Saccharomyces cerevisiae S288C: one gene and its partners. Changing the gene in region 4 together with the main gene of any one other region gives a genetic interaction. Each region holds a gene or a part of one and is shown on either strand. Other genes may lie near its edges. The genes, in order: LAS17, NMT1, FAA4 and SEC7.

Evidence for each region.
Region 1: mutations in SEC7 (region 4) and LAS17 are lethal when combined (synthetic lethality), as found in Saccharomyces cerevisiae (one large-scale study listed by BioGRID).
Region 2: mutations in SEC7 (region 4) and NMT1 together harm fitness more than expected from each alone (negative genetic interaction), as found in Saccharomyces cerevisiae (2 studies listed by BioGRID).
Region 3: mutations in SEC7 (region 4) and FAA4 together harm fitness less than expected from each alone (positive genetic interaction), as found in Saccharomyces cerevisiae (one large-scale study listed by BioGRID).

Annotation. Positions count from the first base shown.
Region 1 is NC_001147.6:674,017-678,354, forward strand, and holds LAS17 (actin-binding protein LAS17), read left to right. Parts: upstream 1-1,922; coding exon 1,923-3,824; downstream 3,825-4,338. Other genes in the region: putative dodecenoyl-CoA isomerase DCI1, read right to left, coding at 336-1,151; 40S ribosomal protein eS30 RPS30B, read right to left, coding at 4,175-4,338.
Region 2 is NC_001144.5:541,429-545,132, forward strand, and holds NMT1 (glycylpeptide N-tetradecanoyltransferase NMT1), read right to left. Parts: upstream 1,877-3,704; coding exon 509-1,876; downstream 1-508. Other genes in the region: NCW2 (Ncw2p), read right to left, coding at 1-145; rRNA-processing protein PWP1, read left to right, coding at 2,540-3,704. UniProt on the Saccharomyces cerevisiae protein: Adds a myristoyl group to the N-terminal glycine residue of certain cellular proteins. Substrate specificity requires an N-terminal glycine in the nascent polypeptide substrates.
Region 3 is NC_001145.3:758,207-762,414, forward strand, and holds FAA4 (long-chain fatty acid-CoA ligase FAA4), read left to right. Parts: upstream 1-1,600; coding exon 1,601-3,685; downstream 3,686-4,208. Other genes in the region: YMR244W (uncharacterized protein), read left to right, coding at 1-111; COA6 (Coa6p), read right to left, coding at 311-625. UniProt on the Saccharomyces cerevisiae protein: Activates long-chain fatty acids (LCFA) by esterification of the fatty acids into metabolically active CoA-thioesters for subsequent degradation or incorporation into phospholipids.
Region 4 is NC_001136.10:796,188-803,837, forward strand, and holds SEC7 (Arf family guanine nucleotide exchange factor SEC7), read right to left. Parts: upstream 6,036-7,650; coding exon 6-6,035; downstream 1-5. Other genes in the region: YDR170W-A (gag protein), read left to right, coding at 7,008-7,650. UniProt on the Saccharomyces cerevisiae protein: Guanine exchange factor that acts as an activator of ARF1 at the trans-Golgi network and is thus involved in vesicular budding and traffic between compartments of the Golgi apparatus.

The DNA of each region.
Region 1 (4,338 bases), on a different chromosome or scaffold from region 4:
TGCCAAGGAAATTGATTCAGTTCATTAAGTACAGTTGTGAAGCACTTTAGTTACTTAACATGAATGACAGTTTTATTAGGTGTAAAAAAAAATCCTTTTTTTCAGAGAGCTATTTGTAAATATTATATGAATATTAAAAAACATCCTTTTTGAGTAAGAATTCCTATGAAACAAAATGGAACAATTTCACTTATATTGTAAGCGGATTTTACAACAGATATAAAATATTGTGCGCCAACATTAAAGTATTAAAGAACCCGGAATTTAACAATTGCAGAAGTATGATCGTGTAGTAGATTTTTTATGTTAAAATCCTATCTCTAAATGCTATATTATTATAACTTGTGGCGCCTGTTTCCCTCTTGAAGCTGTTTAAATCTTTTGAATGGCTCGCCGCTTGCCCAAAAAGGCAAGGTTCCGTTAGTCTCCATTGCTTGTGCTTTGATAAGCTTCTGTTTCATTTCACTGTGTAACAATTCTTTCATACCTAGTACACTTTTCGGATAAAGCCCTTCTAAATTCTGCTTTATGTCCTGAAGAACTTTTTCATTGAATGTTTCAGTATTTGTCAATTGATAATTTTTTGTAATAATAGTTCCTATCAATTCTTTAAATAGAACTGGTGTGCTGAAAATCATATGTTCGTTTGCAGAATTTATACCCAGTTTTTGAGTTAAGGTAACAGAAGTTCCCACTTCTGCGACAAAACCGAGATTGCTGAAGGGAAAAAGAAGAAATACTGAATCGTTTTGCGAGTAAACAATGTCACAAAGAGCAACTAGCGATGCGCTAAGTCCGATGGCCGGTCCATTCAAACAGCACACCAGAACCTTTTTATGGATTGCAAATGCGTTCGCCACAAATATGTTAGGAGAGCTTATAGCAGATACCAGCTTTGAGACTTTCTCCACTTCGCTTGTAACGTCTCCATCGTTTAGCTTGTTAACTGCTGAAAACTTACCTCCCGAGGAGAAATACTTGCCTGAGCTTTGTAGAACAGTAAACAAAACAGAATCAATATCGTTTGCCTTATGCAGTAATAGTGCAATGTATACAAAATCCTCGAAAGTTAAAGAGTTCAAATGTTTTGGATCAATTAATTTGATTATGAAAAAGGGACCATTAATATGGTAGCACACACGACTGCTCATAGTTAGAAGATAACTCACTAGACTTAACACCAGAAAATCCTACTCTGTAATAAAATAATCCCGGGGTAATGGATTGGATTTTTCTATCAGGATCGTTTACGTATATATAATACACTGTCGGAGTTTAGCGCGCTTACAGCCGCTACTTGTGGAGTCCTTTTTTTTTTTTTTTTTTTGGGGTTTCAGACATCCAGTAAAGAATAGAAACAAGCAACAAACTTCAGAACTGAAACAATGCTTTTTTAAGTTATCGCCTAAATATATTCAAAAAATATAGATATGCTAGATTTTCAATTATACCAAAGTTCATATTTTCAAAATGAATGTTAACAAAAAGACAAGTTGATGGCCCTTTTTCATAAAGTATGCGTTTAGTTTCAAGTAACGCCGGCTGACGTGGACGATTTATCAAAGAAGTGGTTTTGGAATACTCTTCTTTTGCAATTAGAAAAAAGGCAAAACTAAATGCAATGCAAGCAGTTGCCCATGGTACTTGAAATTGTGTCTCTGGTTTAAAAGATCTATGATATAAGTCTTAACTGATCTTATAGTTGTTTTTTTTTGAATTTTCCAAATAGTTTATATGATCATTGAATACGTGCGAGACGTCCGAAAAGGGGCCAGTCAATACCTATGAAAAAAAATCATGAATATGTAATAATAAATATTGAATGTAGAATATACATAGTAGAAAAGGAAGTGCTGTAGCGATTGCCATCTCCGCTACAAATTACAGTTCGTTACTTTAAGTGTTGATAGGCGTGATTTAATATGGGACTCCTAAACTCTTCAGATAAGGAAATTATCAAAAGGGCTCTACCAAAAGCGTCGAATAAGATTATTGATGTTACGGTGGCTCGACTATACATTGCATACCCTGATAAAAATGAATGGCAGTACACTGGACTTTCAGGAGCTCTTGCTCTAGTAGACGATCTTGTGGGGAATACTTTTTTTTTGAAATTAGTTGACATCAATGGCCATAGAGGAGTTATCTGGGACCAAGAATTGTATGTGAATTTTGAATACTATCAAGACCGTACTTTTTTTCATACATTTGAGATGGAAGAATGCTTTGCAGGTTTATTGTTTGTAGATATTAATGAAGCATCGCACTTTTTAAAGAGAGTTCAAAAGCGTGAAAGATATGCTAACAGGAAAACTTTGTTGAACAAAAATGCTGTAGCATTAACCAAGAAAGTAAGAGAAGAACAAAAATCTCAAGTGGTGCACGGCCCAAGAGGGGAGTCATTGATTGACAATCAAAGGAAAAGATATAATTATGAAGATGTGGACACAATTCCAACTACAAAGCATAAGGCTCCTCCCCCTCCTCCGCCAACGGCCGAAACATTTGATTCAGACCAAACAAGTTCATTTTCCGATATCAATTCGACAACAGCATCCGCACCGACTACCCCAGCCCCTGCTCTTCCTCCTGCATCTCCTGAAGTAAGAAAAGAAGAAACGCATCCAAAGCATAGTTTACCGCCTTTACCAAATCAGTTTGCGCCATTACCAGACCCTCCACAACATAACTCTCCACCTCAAAATAACGCGCCTTCGCAACCCCAAAGCAATCCATTTCCATTCCCAATTCCTGAAATTCCCTCGACACAGTCTGCAACAAACCCATTTCCATTTCCGGTACCTCAGCAGCAGTTTAATCAAGCTCCTTCAATGGGCATACCACAGCAGAATAGGCCCCTTCCACAGTTGCCTAACAGAAATAATCGGCCTGTGCCACCTCCTCCGCCAATGCGTACCACTACTGAAGGTTCAGGTGTTCGCCTACCTGCTCCTCCACCTCCGCCAAGGCGTGGGCCAGCACCACCGCCTCCACCACATAGGCACGTAACCAGTAATACCCTGAATTCTGCCGGTGGAAATAGCCTCCTTCCACAGGCCACTGGAAGAAGAGGGCCAGCACCACCACCTCCTCCAAGAGCATCTCGCCCCACACCAAACGTTACGATGCAACAAAATCCACAACAGTACAATAATTCTAACCGCCCCTTTGGATATCAGACAAATAGCAACATGTCATCTCCACCCCCTCCTCCAGTGACAACTTTCAATACCCTGACACCACAAATGACTGCAGCAACTGGACAACCTGCAGTTCCCCTTCCTCAGAATACTCAAGCACCTTCGCAAGCCACAAATGTGCCAGTGGCACCACCACCTCCTCCGGCATCTTTAGGCCAGTCGCAGATACCTCAGTCAGCACCCTCAGCACCTATTCCGCCAACGTTACCATCGACGACGAGTGCTGCACCACCTCCGCCACCAGCATTCCTAACTCAACAACCTCAATCTGGAGGAGCTCCAGCTCCACCCCCACCTCCTCAAATGCCAGCTACATCAACATCCGGAGGCGGTTCATTCGCTGAAACTACTGGAGATGCAGGTCGTGATGCACTTTTAGCTTCAATTAGAGGGGCAGGTGGCATAGGCGCTTTGAGAAAAGTTGACAAATCGCAGCTAGATAAGCCCTCAGTTTTACTGCAGGAAGCACGTGGAGAATCTGCTTCACCACCAGCAGCGGCTGGAAATGGAGGCACACCTGGTGGACCTCCGGCTTCTTTAGCAGATGCGTTGGCAGCAGCTTTAAACAAAAGAAAAACTAAAGTGGGAGCTCATGACGATATGGACAATGGTGATGATTGGTAATGGAATGCAAACAAAGATGAAACTACTGTTATAGAAAATATGTAATTTTATGTACTCACTATTAATGATCAAAGTAATTGCTCTTTTTATGTATAGTTTCTTTAATCGGAGGAAATTTTGATATAGGTTCAAAGGCGGTCAGTGATTGAATGATCAAGGTAATAGTCGGGCTACAATGATGGCCATCCCTATGGCCGTTTCAAATGTTTGAGAAAATGATGTATAGTAAATCCTAGATTTTAGCAGTTCGAATCAAAAACCCATGTAAAAAGGGTAAATATTTCCTAATTATAATATTTTTGTTTAATTACACATGTAGAACAATAAAAGTATAGAATTTTAGATAGTATCTATTGGACAGATGGACCTGGGTTCATTCTTCTCTTACCGTTAACCAAGGTAACGTTAACGAATCTTCTGGTGTACAATAATCTCTTGTAAGCACGACCCTTTGGTTTCTTTGGCTTTTCAGTTTTTTCAACCTTTGGAGTTTGAGACTTAACTTTACCAGCAC
Region 2 (3,704 bases), on a different chromosome or scaffold from region 4:
TTGTCGTGGTAGGTGTGATCTCTTGAGAGTTTGAGCTTTCCTTTTGTGAGCTATCTTCAGAGTTCTGGCCATCTAAGGAACCAGAGTCTTTTTGAGCAGCGGCTAGAGTAATTAAGGTGGTAAATAATATGGAACAGGCCTTCATTTTATATATATGTTGGGTTTGTTTATATTTTCACTAGATCGGTGAGTATCTAGTCCAGAAGAGTTGATCTTTCTTACATACTTATATATGCTCACTACCGCCTTCTGAGAAAGTAGGCGTTTTTCAGCTACCTCAGTCGCTAAAAATAAATGCGAGTTCTCAAGCCAACTTGGACTCCAAGGCGGTAATTATAGTGATTCTCTTTGTCTATTTTTGGATTTATTTTGGAGGCTGACACTCTAAAGCCAGCCATTGGATTAATTATTTTTTCACTTCGTCAATTGACTATGCGGAAAAACTAAATGTGGTCAAATTCTGTCGGCTATGTACACGAAAACTATATACGCCTCGTCCTTTCAGCCACTACAACATAACAACACCGACATTGCTACGCCTTTTAATGTCGTTACTATTGTCGGGATTCAAGCCACCGGTAATCGGCTTTGCTCTATAATTAAATAAATAGAAGTTCAAGAACCCGTCACCGGGCCCGAACTTCAAATCATCCAAGAACAATGTATTATCTTGCGAAGTCAACGCGTTAAAAACATCCATATTAGCGTTTTTGGCCAAAATACAAGCGTCATAAATCAATTCACACAATCTTGTTTTCAAAGCCTTAGTAGCTTTTGGATCAAACCTGTCTTTGAATTGGAAATCTGCATCGGTGGCATAATAATACAAGTACCCGATGCCTAGGTCCTTATATTTTGTGTTATTTAGGATTGTGAATGGCAATGAGTAAAATGAGAAGAAGTCTGTAATTTTTCCATCGGGCTGTTCGACTACATATGAGAAAATTACTTGTTTATCCAATGGTAACGATTCTTCACCAATGAAATTATGTTCGAATTCTTCTTTTGTGAAAATTTGAATTAGTTCGAACCTGGATTGATATCTTTTGAACAACTCAAAAACTTGGTCAATATCTTCCTTCTTTAATTTTCTCAATCCCGCTGTCTTTGTTTTGGCCGGTAACGCATTCTCAGCAATCATATCCTCCTCTGTGTGCCCATCTGGTAACCCTGTGAAATCTACTTCATAAAGTTTCTTCCAATTCAAGGGACGATGAGTATAACGACACGTACTCACAGGTGCTGGCAAAACAATACCTGCCGTGTACAATGCATGCCAGATGTCACATTTGTTCACTCGTCTCGTAATTTCTTTAATTAGAACAGGTGTTAATCTCTTCGATCTTAGCTGTTTGTGAACGCACAAGAAATTGATTTCTACACTAGGCACTTGTTTACCTCTAACACCAAGTGTTACTGGTATGGCTGAGATAAAGGCAACTAATTTCTGTGTTTCTTTAACGCGAACACCAATATGCCAATCCTTCTTCCAACCTGGACTCTTTAAAGCCCAATTGAAGAATTCTTTGGTATAGTTAAATCTGAAGCCTGCATCGCGGTCTTCCACGTAGTTTTCATTTAGTAGAACGAAAACATCTTCAAGCTGTTTTTTGTTGTCCACATCAATACTACACCATTCGAAGCTAGACAATAAAGGTAGTGGCTTGTCAGATATATCTTCCGGTGTCTTTGGCTTATCAATGGGGCCTTCTTCCACCACCTTTTCATCGAAATCTTTGACCGGTTGCGTTCTCCAGAATTTGTGGTCTTTCATAGCTTTTTTCTGTTCTTGAGTGAATTTTGAAGTATCGTCATTATTCAACTGTAATAACTTCAATAAATTCTCTAATTTTTTCGCTTTATCCTCTTCTGACATTCTATAAATACGTTTACTACCGAAGCTCTATGACAACCAGAGCTATTGTACAGATCATTCTCTAAAAAGCGTGCAACACATATCATCTTCAATTATAGTGAATTACTTTTATCATGAGCAACGGCTGAAATTATTTTATCCTATTGTTTTATGACAGTATCCTTTCAAAAGAGTCGAAAGGATCCTCTGTTGCAAGAACTACTATTACGTAATTATACATAGTCCGCCTGCAATTTCTAGTGAGACTTTGCTTTGCTTTCCACTTTGCGATTAATATTGAGAATTTTAAACGTTAACTGAATTCTTACCCACCCATAATAAGAACTCTAACTGGCGAATTTATCATGAAACAAATCTGCAAGAATAAAAAATTAGAGAATCGTGCAATTCAATTTAATTGCCTTGTCCGTTGTAAAACTTTTCCATAGGCCCTACCTTGAGTTGATCATATGTATTATTCTATATATATTATATCCAGTCGGGTAATAAATTTTCTCGCCCTCGAAAAAAAGAAGTGAAAAATTTGTCTCGATGAGCTGAGATGAGTTTGAAAGAAGCAAAGAGTTTTAATTTGTAAACGATAGCAAGTGTACCCTCAGTTGAGTCTATTACGCCTTCCTTATTTGGAAACTTAGAAGACGAATAAAAAAAACAAAATAACTAATGATTTCTGCTACTAATTGGGTTCCAAGAGGGTTTTCCTCGGAATTTCCTGAAAAGTATGTTCTGGATGATGAGGAAGTGGAAAGAATTAACCAATTAGCACAGTTGAATTTGGATGATGCTAAAGCTACTTTGGAAGAAGCAGAAGGCGAATCAGGTGTTGAAGATGACGCCGCAACAGGTAGTTCTAATAAGTTGAAGGATCAGTTGGATATAGATGATGATTTGAAAGAATATAACCTGGAAGAATATGACGATGAGGAAATTGCAGATAATGAGGGTGGTAAAGACGTTTCCATGTTCCCGGGTTTAAGTAATGATAGCGATGTTAAATTCCATGAGGGTGAAAAAGGTGAAGATCCATATATTTCATTGCCTAATCAAGAGGATAGTCAAGAGGAGAAGCAGGAGTTACAAGTTTACCCATCCGATAATTTAGTTCTTGCTGCGAGAACAGAAGATGACGTTTCGTATTTGGATATCTACGTTTACGATGACGGTGCTGGGTTCCACAGTAGCGATATTCCCGTTGAAGAAGGTGATGAAGCTGACCCAGATGTTGCTCGTGGATTGGTTCGTGACCCTGCACTTTACGTTCACCATGATTTAATGTTGCCTGCTTTTCCACTATGTGTTGAGTGGCTTGACTACAAGGTTGGATCCAATTCCGAAGAAGCAGCCAATTATGCTGCCATTGGTACGTTTGATCCACAAATTGAAATTTGGAACTTGGACTGTGTTGACAAGGCCTTTCCCGATATGATTCTGGGTGAACCTCTTGATAATTCAATGGTGTCTTTGAAAAGCAAAAAGAAGAAGAAGAAGTCTAAGACTGGACACATTACTACTCATCATACCGATGCTGTTTTATCCATGGCACACAACAAATATTTCCGTTCCGTTTTAGCATCCACCTCTGCAGATCATACCGTAAAACTATGGGATTTGAACTCAGGTAACGCAGCCCGCTCCTTAGCTTCCATTCATTCAAACAAAAATGTTTCATCATCTGAATGGCACATGTTGAATGGTTCCATTCTTTTGACCGGTGGTTATGATTCTCGAGTAGCTTTAACAGATGTTAGAATTTCTGACGAAAGTCAAATGAGTAAATACTGGTCTGCCATGGCAGGTGAGGAAATAGAAACTGTTACATTTGCCAGTG
Region 3 (4,208 bases), on a different chromosome or scaffold from region 4:
GGTAGCGGCTCATCTTCTAAAGGCAAGAGAGAACTGAATCCGCTAGACGTTATTACCACAACGGTCACCGAGACCAAGTACAAGACAGTCACCGTCACTGCCAAAACTTAGCGCGGTTTTTTCTACCTTCCCTTTTTTCATCTTTTTGTTATATATATATACAGAGACACTCATGCGAATTTTCGCAAAACGAAGAAAAAAACATAAAATTTTCGTTTGTATCTACATGACTATCCTTTAATTATTACCTTTCTGTCAAATGTTTTATGGGAATATATATGTTAATATGAGCCAATAACTCACTAAAAACTCACTGATTTCGTTCCCTCTGTTTAGCTTCCTGCTCGATTCTCTTGATGGTCTGCTCTCTCTTAAAGTCGATGACCCTCTTCTCCTTGAAGTACTTGATCCAGCTATGGGCGCAATTCTCCTCAAATTTTTCATTTTCCACCTTGCAGTGCGACTTTATACTCTTGCTATTCTTGGGGTCCATTGCGTCCAAGATGTCTGCCTTGTCCAAACACTGGAAGAATGCGTCCCTGGACTCCCAGCACAACTTTCTCTGTGAACGGGTATTAGGGGGTTGTGATTCCTTTTTGCCACCATCAAATGAAAATAAGCCCATCGCTATATTACTACTATTCCTTTCTGTATATTCGTGTATCTATGTTCCTGCGCAGCGCTACAATAGTACCCGTCTATGTATGTATGTATGTATGTATGTAGGCGAATCTTCTCCCCCATTCTACAAAGCAGCACCTACCACCGCAGCACCGTTTCACATGTCCGTCTCTTTTGTTCAGCTCAGCTACAATCGTCAATCGCACTTTCTTCCGCGCGGGCGAGCCCGGTTTTGTTGGATTTGCTCAGGTGCCAATATACCATCAAGGAACGGACAGGGACCTGACAATACAATAGGCCATTTACATCACAATGCACAGGGACAGAAATTTATACACGATAACAATACCAACTAAACAAAAATATCTCCCGAGCCGATGCTTATTCCGCGGGTTCGATGCCGAAATAATTGTTGCATACGCTTTATCCAACACGATGGAGCGTGTTGGGCGCTTAAAGAAGAGACTCACTAAACTGTTCGGCTTTTTGGCTGCGCGTCTTTGCCGTTTCCCAACAAAAAACAATCATACTTAGTAACAAGAAAGACAAAAGCGCAAACCGAACCGCCCAGCTCAACCATCTTCGCCAAGTAGCGGCAAACTTATATAAGCTCCAACGATGTCCCCATCAATTAAGAACCCTCGATTGTCGGCGATCTATTTTTCTATTCTGGGTGTTTCTCGGCCTTCGTTCATCTCGTTCTTTCTACTCTTAGCCCTCATCTTTCTCTTCTGCATTCTTTTCACCTCATTAAGAACATTCGCGGCGCCGCTTTACCCCAACAAAAACAGCCCATCTTTTGTTCTACCTCTTTCAGATAAGGCTCAACAGATAGACAATAACTGATCATTCTTTCTTTTGTTTGCAACCCCTCTGAGTTGACATAAAAGCGAGAATACAAAAGAACCAGCATTAGTAACACATCATTTTTTTCTCTGTTCTTCACTATTTCTTGAAAAACTAAGAAGTACGCATCAAAATGACCGAACAATATTCCGTTGCAGTTGGCGAAGCCGCCAATGAGCATGAAACCGCTCCAAGAAGAAATATCAGGGTTAAAGACCAGCCTTTGATTAGACCCATAAACTCCTCAGCATCTACACTGTACGAATTCGCCCTGGAATGTTTTACCAAGGGTGGTAAGAGAGACGGTATGGCATGGAGAGATATTATAGATATACATGAGACGAAAAAAACCATAGTCAAGAGGGTGGATGGTAAGGATAAGCCCATCGAAAAAACATGGTTGTACTACGAACTGACTCCCTACATAACCATGACATACGAGGAGATGATCTGCGTAATGCACGACATTGGACGTGGGCTGATAAAGATTGGTGTTAAACCTAACGGTGAGAACAAGTTCCACATCTTTGCCTCTACTTCTCACAAGTGGATGAAAACTTTTCTTGGTTGCATGTCACAAGGTATTCCTGTGGTCACCGCGTACGACACTTTGGGTGAGAGCGGTTTGATTCACTCCATGGTGGAAACAGATTCCGTCGCCATTTTCACGGACAACCAGCTGTTGTCCAAATTAGCAGTTCCTTTGAAAACCGCCAAGAACGTAAAATTCGTCATTCACAACGAACCCATCGATCCAAGTGACAAAAGACAAAATGGTAAGCTTTACAAGGCTGCCAAGGATGCTGTTGACAAAATCAAGGAAGTTAGACCGGACATAAAAATCTACAGTTTCGATGAAATTATTGAGATAGGTAAAAAGGCCAAGGACGAGGTTGAATTGCATTTCCCCAAGCCTGAAGATCCAGCTTGTATCATGTACACTTCTGGTTCCACTGGTACACCAAAGGGTGTGGTATTGACACATTACAACATTGTAGCTGGTATTGGTGGTGTGGGCCATAACGTTATCGGATGGATTGGCCCAACAGACCGTATTATCGCATTCTTGCCATTGGCTCATATTTTTGAATTAACCTTTGAATTCGAAGCGTTCTACTGGAATGGTATCCTAGGGTACGCCAATGTCAAGACTTTAACCCCAACTTCTACACGTAATTGCCAAGGTGACCTGATGGAGTTTAAACCTACCGTAATGGTGGGTGTCGCCGCAGTTTGGGAAACAGTGAGAAAAGGTATCCTGGCCAAGATCAACGAATTGCCCGGTTGGTCTCAAACGCTTTTCTGGACTGTCTATGCTTTGAAAGAGAGAAATATACCATGTAGCGGCTTGCTGAGTGGGTTGATCTTCAAGAGAATCAGAGAAGCAACCGGTGGAAACTTAAGGTTTATTCTGAACGGTGGGTCTGCAATCAGCATAGACGCCCAAAAATTCCTCTCCAACCTTCTATGTCCTATGCTCATTGGATATGGGCTAACTGAGGGTGTGGCTAATGCCTGTGTCCTGGAGCCTGAACATTTTGATTACGGTATTGCTGGTGACCTTGTCGGAACTATTACAGCTAAATTGGTGGATGTCGAAGATTTGGGCTATTTTGCCAAGAATAATCAAGGTGAATTGCTGTTTAAGGGTGCACCCATCTGTTCTGAATACTATAAGAATCCTGAAGAAACTGCTGCGGCCTTTACCGATGATGGCTGGTTCCGTACCGGTGATATCGCTGAATGGACCCCCAAGGGACAAGTTAAGATCATTGATAGAAAGAAAAATTTGGTTAAGACCTTAAATGGTGAGTACATTGCATTGGAAAAATTAGAATCCATTTACAGATCAAATCCTTACGTCCAAAACATCTGTGTCTACGCTGATGAAAACAAAGTTAAGCCTGTCGGTATTGTGGTCCCTAACTTAGGACACTTGTCTAAGCTGGCTATCGAATTAGGTATAATGGTACCAGGTGAAGATGTCGAAAGCTATATCCATGAAAAGAAGCTACAGGATGCCGTTTGCAAAGATATGCTGTCAACTGCCAAATCTCAAGGCTTGAATGGTATTGAATTATTATGTGGCATTGTTTTCTTTGAAGAAGAATGGACTCCAGAAAATGGCCTTGTTACATCCGCCCAAAAATTAAAGAGAAGAGATATTCTAGCGGCTGTCAAGCCAGATGTGGAAAGAGTTTATAAAGAAAACACTTAAAGGAAGACATAGTTTTTTACTTTCCCCCCTGCCCTTCATAAACACTACGTTTCATTTTCTAAGAGCATCAATTTGCAAACACCTGAACTACTTGCACAATACATAGTTTCTTCTCCTACAGATACAGTTAATAATTAATAAATAACATTACACATAAACATGTTTAAGTTTCATTTCAGCAAGACAAGATTGACATTATTAAGCGTGATCTAAACTATGAATTTCTCCCGGGTATGAAACTACATTCTACTATTGATTTTAATAGATGAGCGATTAAACGGGATATTTGAATTTATGACTTCTGTAAACCATCGAATGCCCCAACTTTTAGTAATCAAACATGCACCGAAAACAACCATATCAATCAATGTCTTGCTTCATTCTTGATTTCTCATCTCTTTCTTTCCTTCGTAATTTCACCTTCTCCCTCCGCTCCTTTTATCGAAGAAACATCGTATTACAATTAACAACGCATTGCACTATAGTACACCAAGTTTGAAAATAAAAACCTCGCCCACGTTCA
Region 4 (7,650 bases):
AAGCCTTAATCAGTAGAAAGGTATAATTCACCAACTCTGCTTAGAAATTGTTTTATAGCATGTCTCAACTCCGTTGGAACGCTCTTATCTAATATTTGAATCACCAGAGCATACATAGCAGGACAGTATAGTCTAAAGTCTTCATCATCAAATTCGTAGTAACCTTGTAATATTTCAACTATCACTGAACGCCAGGCATTGATACTACGTTCCATGGTTCTATCATCCAAAGAAACATAACCCTCTACGACCTGGATGCAAATGGTGATCAGACGAGTTATTAAATCAGCCTTCTTCTCATCATCGTTCAGATACAACTGAAACATAATGTCAAGGAGAACTGCAGCAGCACTCGTTTCTTGTTTCAACAGGTTTGGTATTTTATCAACTACACGAGCCTCTACTAGTCTTGTTCTTAACCCATAATCTTCATTAAAGTCACGAGAAAATTCGTACGATTTCTCCAACAATCTTGTAATTCTAATGGCTTCCTTGTAAGGGATACAGTGGGCAAAATCTTCGTTCTCGAATAATTCGTTGAGCAGCTCTATCATCAAAAGCTGTAAAACACATTTGACAACAATAGAATTCTTGATGTTTATTCTCCTACGTATATCTTCGTTACTTTCGTTTCGTTTCATGTGCTTAGTTTTCTTGGGGATACTTAGACTAGCGGGCTTTGGATTCAATTCGTCCTTTACCGTCGGAACGGAATTGCCATTATTAAGCTTAGTTTGCCCATTGAGTGTTTCAACCATGTCACCACCAACGTCTTCGCTGGATTCTTCTTGATGCGCTCTTTCGACCGTCTCACTGATATTAGAATCGTTCTCCCTTCTGTCGTTGCTATCATCATCTGAGTGTTGGCTGGTATCATTAGTTGTTTGGTGATGAGATACAGATGATTTTCTTCCTTGCTGTAACGGATCATAATCGAACAATTCATTAGCAGTGGTTAAATCAAACAATTTATCGAATACGTCACCTATTTGATTCCAATGGTACTCATTGAATTTAGATACGTTTTGCAATATCAATTGTTGCAGGCAGGATCTCCCAATTCTAGCAATAGTGTCATTTTCTTGACAAATACAGGATACCAGCAGACCCAAAAATCCATCGAGCATTCTGTTCAACGATTCAAAGTAATGCGTAAAAAGGGCAATCAAGTTCCTTAAGGCTTGAATTAACGTGGTCGAAAGCCAAACACTTAAATCATCATGACTATTGAATTGGTTGACTTCCCAATGTTTGGATAATACACCGAAAATAGGAAATAGTAACTTCTTACAAATCTTTTCCCAGAAATCATCATTGAATTTACCACCATATGCCACTAGGGCATCGAACATATAGTTTAATGCACGTGATCTAACTTCTAAGTCTTCAGCTGTCATGATCGTATCATTGAAGCAGAATAACATAGGGAACCACACATCCTGGAATATGTCTTTCCCACGAAGTAAAGCATCGTTATGTTTTCTTTCTTCTTCAGTCTTATTTTCATTGTAAAAACAGATGTCTGCGACGTTCTGAGTCATCTTTCTTAGAGACTCCAAAGCATGTAGAGATAGCTTTTGGAATCTCTTATTTTTGGTGATTTCTCTGAAGACACCAACTAACTCAGAAAAGGCATCTTCTTGAGAGAATACGTTTTCGAAGTGATTTGTCACAATATCATTGCTAACCAGCAATTGCGTCTTTAATACAATGGATTCAGTGCTTGAGCGAGCCGTATATTGTAAGGATTCAAGAATAGGCTTCCAGCCAGATTTGATACTTTCCGATTTTGTCAATATGAAGTTCCTAAAACACTCAATAATCATTTCTTGAACTTCAGTGTTGCCACTATTTTGAACCGTGTATTCAAAAGGTTTTAAAAAATCATGTTGAAATTCAAAACCTGATAATTCCTCAATATCTAAAAATCTCATAGACAATTGACGCAGGGAATCGATAGCGAAAAATACTACTGCTAAGTTAGAGTTTGTAGCAATCTTGTTGAAAGCTTTTCCCATAACAGCCCAAAGCGGCGTCCATTCTAGTTTGATACGATCCATATTGTAGTAACATACATCGACCATTTTTTGCAAGGAAAACATTCTTGGTGTGGAAGCATTTTCAGATGATTCAATTTCTTCTAAAGATACAGCGGTTAAAGCTTTGATAAAATCAACGATAGCATTACCTGATAACTCGGAACTTTTGGTAAATATATTGTCCATCAAAACGACTAATTCACTGGAGGAAATGAATTTAGAGATTTCGGGTGATAAGGTTTGATTATGGTGTTTTTCTTGAGCCAATTCTGTGGGAGTTGCCTTCTTGCCCCAAACATCAAAGAAAGATGTATTATTGGATCTTGATGATTCGTAAGAAACTCTAGGGTTTGCAACACGAGCTTGTGCAACATCTGGAACCGTATCTCTGTCGATACCTTTGGATATCAATTGTAGTCTTTCCATTTGAGACACGACCAGCAAAATGTCCTTCCACGATCCCTCCAAGTAATTTCCTTCTGATAACGCGACTTCAAGAAGAATTACCATTGCATTGACATTTTTAACTTTGATTTCTTCAAGGTTTTGAAGGTTACAAAATTGGACTAACGCACCTACAAAGGAGGTTCTAGCATCATTGATTCTAAAAGTAGAAGCAATTTTAATTGATATTTTCAAGCCTTCTAAACACTTATTGGTTGTGTCAATGTCATCATAATCCTTAAATGGGGGGGTTAGAGCTGCTAAAAAGGACATCCATAGTGTCTCGAAAATTGATTTAACATGCTCAACGTGGGAAGCAGCATAATAGACGTCTGGGCCTCCTTTATTTTTGTTTAAATTCTTAAAGACTAATTCCGTTTTAGATGAAATTTCTTTTGAGACTTGATTATATGCCTCTCTTGTCAAATCACGAGAATTAAAGAAGTTGAAAGCAGATTGCTGTTGTTGGACAAGATTGGTATCACCTGAAAGCATTGCCTGATGCTGTTCAGAAATTAACTTGATTTCATTGTTAGCAATTTCGTTGAACAAACCTTCCAAGAAGTCTCTTGGTAAATCTCTTCCGTTGTCAATACCTTCGTTGTTTTCTAAAAACTCTTGTAAAGACATTTTATTTTTGATTTGTGACGAATGTAAATCAGTATTCAACATGATCAAAGAATACGAAAGCACATATGCAGTATCCGCCTTTGAAAAGACTCCGGGGTTTTGGTCCACAAATCTTTCCGCAAATTTCAGCATGAATCTGTCAATTTTTTGACCTTCTCCAGGCAATCTGAAACTTTGTAAAAATGACCTTAATGCGTCAACAATGGACATACCAGTGAAGTCAAACTCATCAACAAATGCGTGCATTATAGCGATGTTCTTGTCGTCTCCTTCGCCTAGATAATCCCCAACAGCGGCCATGTCGAGGCCTTCTGTTTCTAATAACCACTTGGCAATGGAAATTGGAGAATCATCTTTCAAAAATCCTTTTTTAATAAGTACTGGAATAGCTTTCTTGGGTTTATTGTTGAAAATAGCAATACATTCCGATAAAGCAGTTTTCCTTAGTTTCAAATTTTCAAATTGTGTGGGGTCGTCTGCGTCAATGTTTTGACTGCTCAATGATCTGCTTTCTTCGTCTTCATATGTTGGTTTGAAGTCATCATTACTTGTCATAATAGAAGACCTTACGTCGTTACTCAAAGATGATCTAGATTCTTGACGAGCTGAAGATGTTGTGTTTAGTAATACCTTATTAGCAGTGTGTGTGTTTGGATTTAAAGCTTTGTGAGCCCATGAGCTTAAGGAACGCAAAACTGACACAATGCAATTTAGTGACACCATTTTGAGAGCAAAATCAAGTGGAAAAAGTAAATTGACTTGACCAACATCAGGACTAGAAGACAAGTTGGAAGAAGTCAAAAGGGGCAATTGTGAGAAATTGTAGGTGGACAGGGATTTTGATATTTGTTCATCGTAGTATGATCTTTGAGTCTGAGTAATTTCCACCCTAGTTAAAGCCAATCTTGTCAAATAATCAACAGTTATTTCCATTACATTTGGCATTCCAGGGTTACAATCATAATTCAAGTAAAATTCAACTAAAGTTCTTGGGTCGTTACAAATTCGTTGAATAACACTTAAAAAATATCTCTTTTGTTGGGAGGTGGAAGTGGTTAATTCTGAAATGGGGAAGTAGATTTCTGTTAAAAAAACTGGAATTTCCTTCACGAAATCTGCTCTCAAATTAGCAATCAATAGCCACATAATTTCTAAAGTAACCTCGAAAACTGGAGCTAGAGGCGAGGCAGCATTCCTTGATAAAACAAGACGTAAATATTGTCTAATTGAATCGATAAAGCACACACGCTCCTTTCCTGGTAGAAAAATGTTGTGGGAAAGGAATACGTCAATATGATCTTTGATAATAGAGTAAATGATGTGAAGAGATAAAAGCTTTGACCTGACGGCATGTGACCTCATGTCGAGTTCTGTTTCCAAAGGTTTAGCACATATTTTCGCCATGACTCTAAACACTAAGAACGCATCTTTAACAGCTAGATCTTGGTTAGTTATGGCGATAGAATCAGGCTGTTGAGCGTCCATTAGTCTTTCCTCATCGTCATTCAACTTATCCATATTTTCCAGAGTTAAAGGAGCCGGCGTTTCTGCATTTTCAGAAGCCTCGGAAAGTTCTATGGCGGATTGTTGTTGATGATTTTTTGTCGATAAGGATACTGCTGAAGAGGTACTTTGTTTGAGATCGATTTTATCATACACCGAACTAATAATTTGTGTCAAGGTCGCCTGTGCAATACCTTGATTGGATGGGTTCAACGAAAAGACGAAAACGTTGTAGATTGTTCTGATAGCCTTTAGCAAGGAAGCACCGTGGCATAAAGAACTTGAATCCTCTTCTAAAATGCAACTAGATAAAGCTCTAACGATTTGTAGTTCCACACGGTCATCAGTGCCTTCACCTTGAAAACAGTCTGAAATAGTATCAATTGCAGCGTCTATAATTTTTTGTTTTGGAGGCGGCGTTATTCCATCGGCAGCATCTTGTCGTTGATCATTAGAGGCTAAAGAATCGGGTGGATTCACTAACAGGGTCTCGTCTAGCGATCTAAAAGAAAACAATTTTGACAGGCAATCTAAAGCCAAACTTTGAACTTTGGAGGATTTGGTACGACAGCTTGCCCTTAGTGCTTCGAATACTAGTATTGAATCCACGTAATGTGGGTTATTCGTGGTTTGCGGATCAAATTCCTTAAATTTTTGTAATGTCCTTTCGATAGCCTTCTGAGCATTCGAATTCTTTTTAATGTCCTTATCATTTAAAATTGTCTCCAACGTAGTTTTCACTAAAATTATGGTTGAGTTTGTGTTCGAACCATTTGAAGATAGTGATATGTTCCTCGTATGGGTAGACCTTGGGGCAGTAGAATCGTTGGTGGGAACACTATCTTGATGAGCGATAGCTGGTTCGCCAGCATTTTCCTCTTCTTCTTCTTCTTCTTCTTCTTCTTCTTCTTCTTCTGACCCGCTTTCATCACCAGAGGAGCTGTTTGATGTATTTCCATCGCTTTCATCAGATTCTTCATCTTCTCCAGAGCTACTCTCAGTACTTTCCCCTGAGACTGATTCAGAATCTTCCCCGTCTTCGGAACTGGTTTCGGAACTACTGCTATCCACGTCCTCATCATCCTCGTCCCCATTGTCTTCATCTTCATCTTCATCTTCATCTTCATCTTCATCTCCATCTTCACCTTCATCGTCATGGCGTTTGTCATTTGTATCTTCCGTTTCTTCGGGCGTTTTCATTCCGTTGGTAGCGTCGTTACTTGTTTCTTTTGTTTCTGCCGTACTGCCAGCGTTTTCTGGCCCTTTGCATTTTTGATCTTCACCATTTGTCTCTTTAGCTTCTTCTTTAATAGCATTCTGTGGTTTCACAGACGGATTGACTGAAGAAGCAGTCTCTACATTTGAAGATATTTCGCCATCCCCTTTTTCAGCATTTACTACTGAATTCTGTTCAGACATCAGATATAGTAGCACTTAGACTTGTTTCTTATCTTCTTTAATGGAATTCGGGGAAAAAATGAGAAAGAAACAGTTTAAGATATTACTTTTTATTGGTTCTGGAGAAACTTAAAAGAAATCGAGTATAGCTTAGTTGCAGAAAATATTTTATATTTCTCCGGAAAATGACTTCAATTTCTATTAGTCTGCGTTTATTGAACAATTGGAGAGAAGCCAATGATGCTTTTTAAAGAAATGATGTAAATCCCAACTTTGAGCTTCCTTTCTCGTTGCTTTGTTTTTCCCTCGCCTCGATATTATAAAATTTACTCGGCGCCTTGATAAAAACTAAACGTTCACCTTCTTTCCTGTAGAGGGAAAATAACAATATGTATAAGCCTTCTCCGACATCAAAAAACTGTAAGAGCTTCAAAAGTACTAAAGTGTATATCTTAAGAGCATCGTTGGCTCCACTCTAACACATCAACAAAAAATATCAATGTTGATTTGTTAGAGTAAAAATAAAAAGAGGTCCTACCCGGATTCGAACCGGGGTTGTCCGGATCAAAACCGAAAGTGATAACCACTACACTATAGGACCGACAATTCATGTTAAATCCTCCTTTTTTAGGCTTTTATAAGTTACTTTGACTAGAGATGACTAGAAATGATTATATTACACGCACACACAATACACACATAGTGTTGGAATAAAAATCCACTATCGTCTATCAACTAATAGTTATATTATCAATATATTATCATATACGGTGTTAAGATGATGACATAAGTTATGAGAAGCTGTCATCGAAGTTAGAGGAAGCTGAAGTGCAAGGATTGATAATGTAATAGGATAATGAAACATATAAAACAGAATGAGGAATAATCGTAATATTGGTATATAGAAATATAGATTCCATTATGGGGATTCCTGACCCTCGAGGAGAACTTCTAGTATATTCTGTATACCTAATATTATAGCCTTTATCAACAATGGAATCCCAACAATTATCTCAACATTCACCCATTTCTCATGGTAGCGCCTGTGCTTCGGTTACTTCTAAAGAAGTCCAAACAACTCAAGATCCGTTAGACATTTCAGCTTCCAAAACAGAAGAATGTGAGAAGGTTTTCACTCAGGCTAATTCTCAACAGCCAACAACACCTCCCTCAGCTGCTGTTCCAGAGAACCATCATCATGCCTCTCCTCAAGCTGCTCAAGTACCATTGCCACAAAATGGGCCGTACCCACAGCAGCGAATGATGACTCCCCAACAAGCCAATATTTCTGGTTGGCCAGTATACGGGCACCCATCTTTGATGCCGTATCCACCTTATCAAATGTCACCTATGTACGCTCCACCTGGAGCACAATCACAGTTTACACAATATCCACAATATGTTGGAACACATTTGAACACCCCGTCACCTGAGTCAGGTAATTCATTTCCTGATTCATCCTCAGCAAAGTCTAATATGACATCCACTAATCAACATGTCAGACCACCGCCAATCTTAACCTCACCTAATGACTTTCTAAATTGGGTTAAAATATACATCAAATTTTTACAAAATTCGAATCTCGGTGATATTATTCCGACAGCAACAAGAAAAGCCGTACGTCAGATGACTGATG